2 linked regions of the Arabidopsis thaliana genome follow. The protein of the gene in region 1 interacts with the protein of each later gene in a pairwise test. Each region holds a gene or a part of one and is shown in the gene's direction. Other genes may lie near its edges. The genes, in order: ULT2 and KAN2.

The links.
Region 2: the proteins of ULT2 (region 1) and KAN2 interact in a two-hybrid assay, tested with the Arabidopsis thaliana proteins (one study listed by BioGRID).

Annotation. Positions count from the first base shown.
Region 1 is NC_003071.7:8,964,888-8,969,139, reverse strand, and holds ULT2 (Developmental regulator, ULTRAPETALA), read left to right. Parts: upstream 1-1,896; 5' UTR 1,897-2,344; coding exon 2,345-2,546; intron 2,547-2,810; coding exon 2,811-3,295; 3' UTR 3,296-3,584; downstream 3,585-4,252. Other genes in the region: AT2G20830 (folic acid binding / transferase), read left to right, coding at 259-770; AT2G20820 (uncharacterized protein), read right to left, coding at 3,903-3,997, 4,085-4,118. UniProt on the Arabidopsis thaliana protein: Putative transcription factor that acts as a key negative regulator of cell accumulation in shoot and floral meristems. Negatively regulates the size of the WUSCHEL (WUS)-expressing organizing center in inflorescence meristems.
Region 2 is NC_003070.9:11,624,880-11,632,614, reverse strand, and holds KAN2 (Homeodomain-like superfamily protein), read left to right. Parts: upstream 1-1,869; 5' UTR 1,870-2,259; coding exon 2,260-2,971; intron 2,972-3,041; exon of another isoform or gene 3,042-3,067; coding exon 3,068-3,144; intron 3,145-4,573; coding exon 4,574-4,619; intron 4,620-4,750; coding exon 4,751-4,895; intron 4,896-5,828; coding exon 5,829-5,889; coding exon of another isoform or gene 5,890-5,949; exon of another isoform or gene 5,950-6,607; coding exon 6,608-6,733; 3' UTR 6,734-6,999; downstream 7,000-7,735. UniProt on the Arabidopsis thaliana protein: Probable transcription factor that regulates lateral organ polarity. Promotes abaxial cell fate during lateral organd formation. Functions with KAN1 in the specification of polarity of the ovule outer integument.

The DNA of each region.
Region 1 (4,252 bases):
TTCTGTTTTTACTATCTCATTATCTCTAGGCCATAGAATATGGAAGTCTTTGTAGCAATGATCTGCTCTCTGCTCTTATCAAGATAAGAACAGAGTATTGCTTGTATGGTGTAGTTGTTGTGTACGTTGTAATAGGCAAAGTGATGCCCTGTGTTTAAAATCTCATCTTCGTCTAGGCCATAGAACTTGGAAGTCTTTGTAGCAATCTCTATATTGATATGTGGACTGGACTGAGATATATGACCCACCTTGGTGCAGTTCCTACATATCTCTATGGAGCAGCAGAAAAGGAGCAGTGCACCCTGGATTCGATCAGAAGAAAGCTGGGGTACTTCAAGGCAAACAGGGAGGGACATGAATGGGCAGGTGGGTTTGACCTGGAGATGGTGCCACTGAAGCCAGACGCAGGGCCACAAGAGGTGAGCAAAGCCAAAGGGGTTGTAGCGGTTGGGGCGTGTGGGTGGGTAAGTAACTATAACGTGCCTGTCATGTCAAACGATCTCAAGGCAGTGAGGAGAATAGCGAGGAAGACGAGCGAGAGAGGAGGGGGCTTGGCTTCAGTGCAGACAATGGCGCTGGTGCACGGGGAAGGAGTCATAGAGGTTGCCTGTAACTTGTTGAATCCAAGCCAAGTGGGGGGAGATGAAGTACAGGGACTGATCGAGAGGCTTGGCAGAGAGGAAGGTCTGCTTGTGGGAAAAGGGTATTATACGGACTATACACCTGACCAGATCGTTGAAAGATATATGGACTTGCTCAACAATTCATAAATTTCAAAGTAAAAAAAGTAAAAACAGTATGATGTTGTCATTCTTAGAACGTATTATTACCGACATCGATCATTTATCTTCATTTTGTGTTTAGATGTGATATACATTGCCATGAGTGACAATTGAAATTAGCAAAGATTAAATAAAAAGTGAAATGATAAAATGATGGTACGTTCATTGAGAGGCCAAAACATCAGATCTCATCATTGGTGTTTTTCCTCAACAACTGTGAGAGATTTGTTTTGTGTAGCCTCGTCTTTTGCCGTGGTTCTTAAAGCTGTTGTTTTCTTAGCATTTTGCCTTGTTTTGCATATATCTATATGGCAATGCATGCAAGTCATTAACTAATGTATAGTGAACTATTGGTAGCATCGTGACCATGTGGTAATTAACAATCTTTGTCCTTCAAATTTATATATATGGAGGTTGTGGTCTATATGATTTGTTAAAGTGAAAAGACAACTGGTTTTCTATTAATTTGGTCGTAGGTGAAATTCGAGGGTCAAAAGTCTCTAAAAACAACGTGGATGAGGTGGAGTTTGGTGCGGCTCGTTATTGACTTGAGTTCTTCTTGGTCATTTTTTTGGGTTTGCAACAAGGGGAAGGAGGTTAAAAGAACATTTATCTTTTTCTGTTTTATCACTAATTATTGTGTTGTTTTATTTGATATAATCAATCAATAGGTTAAAAGAACAAGAATAAATTAAAAAATTCGTCAAAAACATCAAAACGAGAACTAATTTGAAACACAATTTAACTTCTAAACGACAACTAATTTGAAACGGAAGGAGTATACGTTACATTTAGACAAAAAAAATGTAATTTATGACATGCCTACACACATTGACGTAGACAATTAAAGGTTAGGTGTGTCCTTGTATATGTGTATACATGTACATACATATGTATGGGCACATTGGAGTTGGGCCGCAATGGAGAATAAGGACCAGATGCGACTATCATACACCTAACTCTTAAGAAAAAAAGCATTATTTGTGTACATAAATGGTAGACCCATGAAACCTGTAGAGCTCAAAAGTCACAAGTAAAAGAGAGAAAAGAAAGAAGAGAAGAGGTAATTACATGTGGGTTTAGAGAACAACTTTACTTAATCTCTTCTCTTTTATCATCAACCAACCATATATGGACAATTACAAGAACACATCTATGTATGAACGTTAACGTAGATAATATTATAAAATATTATTCTAAAAATTAAAAGATTCACAATTCCCATGCCTCACGACTTGTATTTTTCTTTGGCCACCTAATTTGCATCCATCATCTCTCTGTCTCTATAGAGAGTTTCTTTCAAATCCCCTAAAACCTAGAAAAACACCAAAGTCTCTCTCTCTTTTTGTTTTACTCCAAAAGCCTTTTACCTTTGAGATTTTTCTATATAATTGTCAGATCCTTCGTTACTACTGATGCTAGCTCCTTTAGGGCTTTTTCTCGTTTACTCATGTCAAATTACCTTCTTGTCCCTTGGTGTTTAGGGCTCTGATCCTATATAATAATACTTCATAGGAAGGAGAAGGAGCCCTTCGTCGTGGTTTACTTGGTCCCGATCGGAGATGGAGAGAGAATGTGGGTCGAAGGAGTTGTTCAGCAAAGAGGAGCTACAAGAAATAAGTGGAGTCCATGTGGGAGACGATTACGTCGAGGTCATGTGTGGCTGCACCAGCCACCGTTACGGAGACGCCGTTGCGAGGCTTAAGATATTTTCAGATGGAGAACTTCAAATCACCTGCCAATGCACTCCTGCTTGTCTCGAAGGTTCCTCTTCTTCTCTCTCACATCTTTCTATATGCATGTTCCATGTGAATGTGTATGGATTCATGATAGTGTCAAGAATGCAATGTAACTGTTCTTTGGCCTCGGTGAACTATGAGGCTGCTTGTATTTGCTAGATGTGATATGTTTCATGCAGTCTTTTAGAGTGTGGGATAACCTTACATTGTAATGTATCTCCATTTTATATCACAAGTTCGAGTTTCTTTCAAAGTGATCTGATTGACAGCTTTCATTCTATGATGGTAGACAAGTTGACGCCTGCTGCCTTCGAGAAGCATTCTGAGAGAGAAACCTCTAGAAACTGGAGGAACAATGTTTGGGTGTTCATTGAAGGAGACAAGGTTCCGCTTTCAAAGACAGTGTTGCTCAGATACTACAACAAAGCATTGAAGAACTCTAACGTATCGAAAGTCATTCATCGGGATGAGTTTGTTGGGTGCAGCACATGCGGGAAGGAGAGGAGGTTCAGATTGAGGAGCAGAGGGGAATGCCGGATGCACCATGATGCAATTGCTGAGCCTAATTGGAAGTGTTGCGATTACCCATACGACAAGATAACATGCGAGGAGGAGGAAGAAAGAGGGAGCAGGAAAGTGTTCAGAGGTTGCACTCGCTCACCGTCCTGCAAAGGCTGCACTTCTTGCGTCTGCTTCGGCTGCAAGCTCTGCCGTTTCTCTGATTGTAACTGCCAGACTTGCCTCGATTTCACCACCAATGCCAAACCCATTTGACTTCATTTCTCTAACTTATTTAATTCTTCTGCAAAAACTTGTAATGTATGCTCTGCATTTTCTTTAATCAGTAGCTTGTTACACCTGTTATGCGAGTGGAGAGACCAAGTAGGGATCACATACTGGAAAAAAAACCGACTTGGGGCTTGGAAAACTAACTTAGCACCACTACGAGGACATGAATCTAATCTAAATTCAACCATATAACCTCGGCAAATACACACAAGGCAGGAGATCGATAACAAGAAGCAAGCAGTGACTGTAATAGTATGCTGAATAAACTATGTCAAGAATAAAAGCATGAGACAAGAGCAGCTACAAACATTTGGATTAGCCAATATGTACTTGGAAGGTGGACGACATACATGGAGAAATACCTCCAACAAAAATTGGTATCCAAACCAGACAAATAGAATGGAAGGAAATAGCTCGAAAGCATATATCAACATACGTAGTGAGACAATGATTTGCTTAAATCCTGTCTGTTTCAAACATAGGATATTATGAAACACAAAACTGTCAAGAATTTATCCATTGCAGACATCATCAGATCTCAAAAGTGATGCAAATTATTTTCAAAATGAAACACAAGACCAGTCACAATCTGCTAAAAGGGAAAACAAAGTGCATGAGAATGAGAGGTCTCTCCATAAAAGGTCTTCCTGGTGACAATGAAACTCATTGTGTACTCTCCACAGGCGTCTGCAAAAAAAACTATGTATAAGGGAAGGAACCCGAAGCCTCTAGGCAATGGAAGAAGAGCAAGAGCTGAAGAGCAAGAGTAAGTACCTCTTTTTTTCCCCCAGTGGCGAGCTTGTATCCACTGTAGAAAAGTAAGCCCCAGCCAGACAGAGAAATAAGCACAAACTGCAGATTGGTCAGGTAACAGAAGGAATCAATTCAACAAAAAATCACAGCTTTCATTAACAAAAACACAGTGTCACAAACACATGATTG
Region 2 (7,735 bases), on another chromosome or scaffold:
ATTGAAGCATTCAAATTTTGTTATTCAATGAACCTCTCTTTTATTCCATGTAGTGAGTGATGTGATTATTGGTTTCTTCATACTTTTTTGTAAATCAATATAGCTAAATTACTATTGTTTAAAATTAGGCATTTGATTGGGTTTGGACTTTTTTCTTTAAATATTTTGATTGTCCTTTTGACAAAGAACAACAATATTGGCTGTAATTAGAAGGTTTCAATCCTTTTTGTATGACATGCTATTAAATTTGGTTTTATGAACATGATACAAATTTCTACTAATTAATTTGAAGTTTCGAATGTAAACTTCATTTGTATATAGTTTGATTGTTTTGCATGCATTTTGTCAAATGTGACACCAAACAAACAATTTTTTTTTTAATCGTCTATATTCTATAAAAGCATTTCCATCAGTGAGATACTCTTTGGATTTCTCAAAAAAAAAATAGTATTTTAATAAATATTAGTTATATAAATAGATTTTACTTATAAAATAAAATTTGATCAATGGAGAATAAACAAGTGTCTTCGTAGGTTTCTCATAGTTTCTCACTTGAGAGACTTTCTTCACTCTATTTTTTACTTTTTATTTATATTTATTTTTATATTAGGTAGTTTTTTAATGAGAAATTAAAATTTCAATTATAACGTGTTGAAGTAAATAATATAAAACACGTGTAATACATAATATTTGTTTCGGTAAATGACCATAATAATAAATCAATTGAATTATTTCATACATTATTAATATTTTAGATTTTCAATTCAGCAGTATTTAGTAATAAATGGATTGGTTCAAACACTGGTTTATACCGTATATATATATATATGAGACTTTGGAATCAGTTATTAATTGTACTCGAGTAATTCACATTGGTCGCTATCGTTCATTGAGATATTCACTGTAGCAGTTGCAGAGTTTATGTTGGACTTGATTTGAACATCACTCTGAGGAAACAGATTATTCAAAAAACATGTGGTAAGGGTTTTTAATCATTAAGGTATAATTCAAGGAAAAAAAACATAGGGAGAAGAGAAAAGTGATAATCATGTGAAAGAGAGTCATACAAGCTAAAATAAGCAAACTTTGTTTTGTTCCTCTTTTTTTCCTTTTTCTCACTCTCACTTTTCATCTTTTTCTTTGTTCCTACTTTTTAATATTTGTGATTTAACCTTTATTAAAATTTTATTCTTCTTTTTGGAATGAATATAGGGTGTATAAAAAGGAGAAATCAACCTTGGGTTTCAGTTAAAAGCAAAGGATAGAGAGCGTGTGGGATGCTAAAGATAAACCATTCCAAAGTTTTCACCTTTCTATTCTTCTTCATGTGATGAATATTTTACTTAATTTATGTTTAGAAAAAGACATTCGAAGGAATTTTCATATGAAAATCACTTTATTACAAAATGAACATTTCGACTTTTCTTAGAACTTCGTAGGTCACTAATTTGCTTAACCTCTTACGGCCATCGCTAAAGAAATGATTAGAACAAAATCAGAAAACCATATAGAAGTGCCTAACCTCAATTTAAGCAATCCACTAATTATGAGACCAATATATTTTTAAAAATTCCATTTATTCAAATTTATTGGTTATAGTGAAGAAACAAAAAAAAGGGAGTGAAAAGATAAAATAAAAGGTGGAATGTAGACTAAGAAAAGAACAATAAAAATGGTTTGAAAACACAAATAAAGGATTTACTTTTCTCCTCCAAAGAAAACAAAAGAGTGCAAAGAAAGAAAGAAAAAAGAAAGCCTTATTTACCATTTACCACTTTTGTTTTTTTATTTTCAATTTCTTTCTCTTTTCTCTTTTCATTTTCTTTATCCCTTTGCTTTTCTTCCCCCTTTCTTAACCTAAGTTCCTCTAGCCCCCCATGTCCACACAAACACCTTCTCTCTCCTCTCTCTCACACACACTCAAGTGTCATTTTCTCACATATACTTCACACAAAAGAAACAACCATTCACTACATACTACCTTGTCATTGATTTTCTCTCTCCCTCTATATCTCTCAAAAATCTTTGCAAAATCTTCTTAACCTCAAACAATATAAACAACATTCTCAACAAAACCCAGAAATCTCTTCCTCAAATCCTCAATACCCTTTTCTATTTTCCTCCCTATACCCTTAATAAAAAAGGATATCTTTCTCTTTTTATCTTCTTTGTCCTAATTCAAGAAAACAAGAACTAGGGTTCATCATCTGTGGAAACCGACTGAAGAATCTCTTCAAGAAGAAGTTAAAGGTCTCTTTCATGGAGCTGTTTCCTGCTCAGCCCGATTTATCCTTACAAATAAGTCCACCAAACAGTAAACCATCATCGACATGGCAGAGAAGAAGATCAACAACAGATCAAGAAGATCATGAAGAACTCGATTTAGGGTTTTGGAGAAGAGCTCTTGATTCAAGAACATCTTCTCTCGTCTCTAATTCCACCTCAAAAACAATCAATCATCCATTCCAAGACCTCTCGCTCTCTAACATCTCTCATCATCAACAACAACAACAACATCATCATCCACAACTTCTCCCTAATTGCAACAGCTCTAACATCTTGACCTCTTTCCAATTTCCGACACAGCAGCAACAACAACACTTACAAGGGTTTCTTGCTCACGACCTTAATACTCACTTAAGACCAATAAGAGGAATACCACTTTACCACAACCCTCCTCCACATCATCATCCTCACCGTCCGCCACCGCCATGTTTCCCTTTCGACCCGTCGTCTCTAATACCCTCTTCCTCCACTTCCTCGCCGGCTCTAACCGGAAACAACAATAGCTTTAATACTAGTAGCGTTAGTAACCCTAATTACCACAATCATCATCACCAGACTCTAAACAGAGCCAGATTCATGCCAAGATTCCCAGCTAAACGAAGCATGAGAGCTCCTAGGATGCGATGGACCACCACTCTTCATGCCCGGTTCGTTCACGCCGTTGAATTACTCGGTGGCCATGAAAGTATGTCCCTTTAACCTTAAAGCTTATCTCTTTTTTCCATTTCTTAATTACCCTTTTTAACTAAACATGTTTTTGTTTTATTCACTTGCTAATTAGGAGCAACACCTAAATCAGTTCTTGAGCTCATGGATGTCAAAGATCTAACCTTGGCTCATGTTAAGTCCCATTTACAGGTAAATTGATTAACAGTATTGTTACAAATTCATCCATATTAAGTACATAATTAGATGGGAAGAAAAAGATAAATGTACATAATAAGTATGTAATTAGTTAATAATAATAATCTTCTTCTCGGGTATCGATGCATTTGACTCGGTGACTTCCTTAAATCAGAGTTCCACTCGAGTCAGAAGAGATCGAATCTTGTTTTCTTCTGAACCTTCCTTTTTTTATTCTTATCTTAATTAAATCCAATTTTGCATACCAATAATGCATTCCTTGGTTGCGTTACAGACAAAAGAAAAATGCATATAAACATTCCATACATATTTTATACAACAAAAAAAAAAAAAAAAAAAAAAACATTTTTCAAAATCCTCTTCTTCGTTTCTTCGTGTTAGATCTGATGGTCCTCATAGATAGACGATAGACAGTCTTCTTTTTGCAAGTCTAAAAAAAAAATTTCGTCTTGGAAGAATAAACTTGTCCTGTTACAAGTAAACCAAAAATTACTCAATATTACTATTACTGACACACATAGAATAGAAAGGTAGAGAGAGAAATAGAGAGATGGGGAAATTACGTAAGTGATTGTGCTAATTATTAGAAAAACAAAAATCTCCTAAGAATATCAATCAAAACATTAGTACTTTTGGTTTCTTATCATCCATTGTTTCTTGGGTTATAAACCAAAATTTAGACTTTGTTTCTGCGTAATCATATGTTTTATATATTTATCATCTATTAAGGATTACCTGATTATAGTTTCTGTAATGTATATGTAGATATTGTATATGCCTATAAGAACACAAAATCTTAGGACAATCTAATTAGGGATTATTTCTTAGTTTAAATGAATATATAGGTAGTAGGATTTTTTTTTAATAATAATAAATATAGACAGAAAGGGAGAGTACAAGAAACACCATCATTTCTCAATGATGAAATGGTTTTGGTCTTACACAGAGTCACAGTGAGAGAGAGAGAGAGAGAGGGTTTATTAACTTAACCATGGTTCCACTTCTCCATATGTTGAATGGGCTAGAATTTAACCATGGTTAGACACATAAATTCATGCATGGGTACATGAAAATCGCAAACTTCATTAATAATGTCAATTAATGCTTCTGTGTCCGAACAGTTTTATATTTTTCTTCTCGTTTTTTTTTTTATCTTCCAATGTGTCTGTGCATATATAATTATATATATAGAATAAAAATGTGTGTGTATATATGTTTCTTATTTTGAAAATTGGTTGGTACTATTCAACTGTGTCGGAAGACAACAGTACAATGGTCTCCTTGCTTTGGTCTCTTCTTCCTTTTCCATATAATTCGATACATGCATCTCTCTAATCTTTATATACGGATTTAGACGAATTATCATTTACTTTGGTCTCTTCTTAATTATATATTGATGCACATTTTTTTTTTATAATATCAGATGTACAGAACAGTGAAGACAACCGACAAAGCAGCAGCTTCGTCAGGTTAGTGTTAGAGAAATAATTCAGATTCTTTATGGGTCAAATTATTGGATATATATGATTTAATAATTAATTGAAATGTGATTCTGATAGAACCCTAATTTGTTTTTTTCTTTCTTCTTAATGTTATTCAGGACAATCTGATGTCTATGAAAATGGATCATCAGGAGATAATAACTCAGACGACTGGATGTTCGATATGAATAGAAAATCGAGAGATAGCGAGGAATTGACGAATCCTCTAGAGAAATCAAATGGTCTATGGACCAATTCTTCCGGGTACGTACATATATGTACGGTCTATCTATACATACTTCCCTAGCTAGATATAGATGATTTTTCCATCGTTACTATATATAACTAACTATATGGAATGTGGAATCTCGCTAAGCATGTGCATGCTTCTATATCTATATTAGCGTAGTTAAGAACTGGGTAATGTTTATGTTTCTGCTTTGTAGTCCTGTTTTGTCTCTTTCTCAGCCACAAACCCAATAGATCCGAGTTGAGACAAAACACATGATGGGTTAATCATCATGTGTTGCTCTCTCTCCACAGTCACAACAACACACACACACACATATATATATATATATATATATAATGATCTTACTTATATATATTATGAATATGTCGAATTAGTGGAAGAAACTTTTCCCCAAATAAAAAGCTAATTTCCAAAGTGATTCATTACATGAAAATCTTAGTAAAATCCTAAAATTTGTATGCATAAATCTAATGTATATATATAAAGTGAGTTTATTTTCCTAACTTAACAATAACAAAACGAAAACAAAAATAGATATACTACTTTAGACTTCAAATTATCTAGAGATATTTAAGTAAATTAAAGCTCTTTTAAAATGGTTAACACATGAACAAATGGGCAAACACATGGACAGGAGGAAAAGATTGATTTCTCAACTTTATACTAAAATAAAGTAATATATATGTCAGACTATAATATTAAATCGTTATCAATTTTGCTTACGTTAAACAAACAGCCATGCCAGTCGACAGAGATAAAAATAACTTTGTTATTACCAAAAGGAAAACACTTTGTTTTCTTTCGTCTTGTAATTTCTTATCTTCCTTTTCACTTTCTTCCTCTTTTTGTTTATTTCTTTGGTTAGTTTATTTTCATTTATTCATTTATGTAAAGCGGATATCATAAATATATCTCATATAACAAACTTTTGTTTGCTTTTGCAGAGAAGCACGTTTGCATGGGAAGTTAATCGATAATGTTGCAGAAATTATGCTACCTTCTGAGGTACGATACATCCCTTTCTACAAATATAACTATATATACGCGAATATGTTTTGTGTGTAGCATATGAACTATTATCAATTTAGTTATGCATTGTCGAAATCATTTCATTGCTAAGTCACCCGAAATCCTAAAAAGGGCTGCCACAAAAAGGGCTTTCATTAAAGTTTGCTTTAGGAATTTTCAAAAGCAAAAGGTATTTTCGCTATTTAGACACTATTCGAAAAAAAAAAAAAAAAACTAATCTCATTGACATTGACCAGGATGAGTTTTTGTTTTGACCTTTGACACGCATATATTGTGACTTGTGAAAGCTTAAGCCGTGAGGTGCGGTTATCTATGTTTGGCTTATAAGCAAATATGGGCAAAAGCAAAACCATGGCAGCTTCCATTGAACAATAAGAAATATAATTATGTATATATATTTGTGTCAATGTCAAACATTAGTCCATAGGACAATAAATAGGGTAAGCTTACATCTAATTAGAACTAATGTCTTAATTATGGATGATACAATATCAACCTTAAACCCTAGTTAAATGTTGAGATCACTCTTACTTAATGTTGCGTGAATTTCTGCACTTAATATTTTATTTATAAATTATTTACATTCACATGCTGATATCATATACAAGTACATATAAAAAAATGCAAACCATTTATACAATAGAAAATTTAGCTAGTTGGTTAATGATTTCTTTTTGGGGTTTAATTTCAACAGAAGGAACTAGATGGAAAGTGCTCAAGTTATGAGAGAATATCATCAGAAGAGATGAGCTCATCAAGCATCTCGGGAACAAGCCCTTTCAAGCCAAATCTTGAGTTTACTCTGGGTCGATCTCACTAAATTTATTGTTGTAGCTAGGTAGTAATTAATTAGTATCAATTAACTTATATTTTGGCTACTGACTAGTTTCGATATTCATATCAATTGAATAAGTTTTTTTTTTTTTTTAGCTTAAAATCTTAATGTCCTATCTTGGTCTTGGAACTTTGACACACACTGTTCTTTTTCCTTCTCTATTGAGAAGAGCTAGTGAAAGAATCAACTATTAGAGGCACAATAAATGTTCAGTACTCTTTGGTTGAACTTTTATTTTACAATCTGATAATAAAGATATATAAATATAGATAAAGATTTGCCAAAAAAAAATATATATAGATAAAGAATAATAATAGAGAAAAAGGAAAGACGTAAAAGAGAAAGAAAAAAAAGTAGAAAGAAAAAAAGAAAAGAGAGAAAAAGGTGTAAAAGAAAGAATGACAAAAGAGGACATGAATGAAAGAAAGCAAACATATTAAAGGAATGGGTAAAGTTGTAAGAAGAATATCTACTTTTTTTATACAAAAAGAAATGTTAATCAGTTTTGTTAAGAAAAGAAATGGACGTGAATGATAGATAATATATGATTAATGATTACCTTTATGATTGGCCTTAAGGTTTTAGAGTAGGTAGAAAGCATATGAACTGTCTATCACCATAAGCTTTTCGAAAAGATAATTAACTTATACAATAAAGCAAACCATATCTCTTTATTCTCGTAAAACAAATCTTGTATATGTTTTTAGGTCCAAAGTATAAATTTTGGGACTTGTTCTTGAAATATACTATATGGACGACGTACCACAAAAGTTCATTGAATATATGATAGGGAAAAAGTAAAAGACATTAAAGAGAAAAATAGAATAATTCTAATGTATAAGGTAGATTCCCACCAAAGAATATTTAGTTCATTGCTTTCACTTAGGTTTTTGATGTTTCCTTAGTCGTCAACACTCTATTCTCAGCATTTTGTCTTCCTCGAGCACACATAATTATATTAAGCATGACGATTGCCATCCATATGCG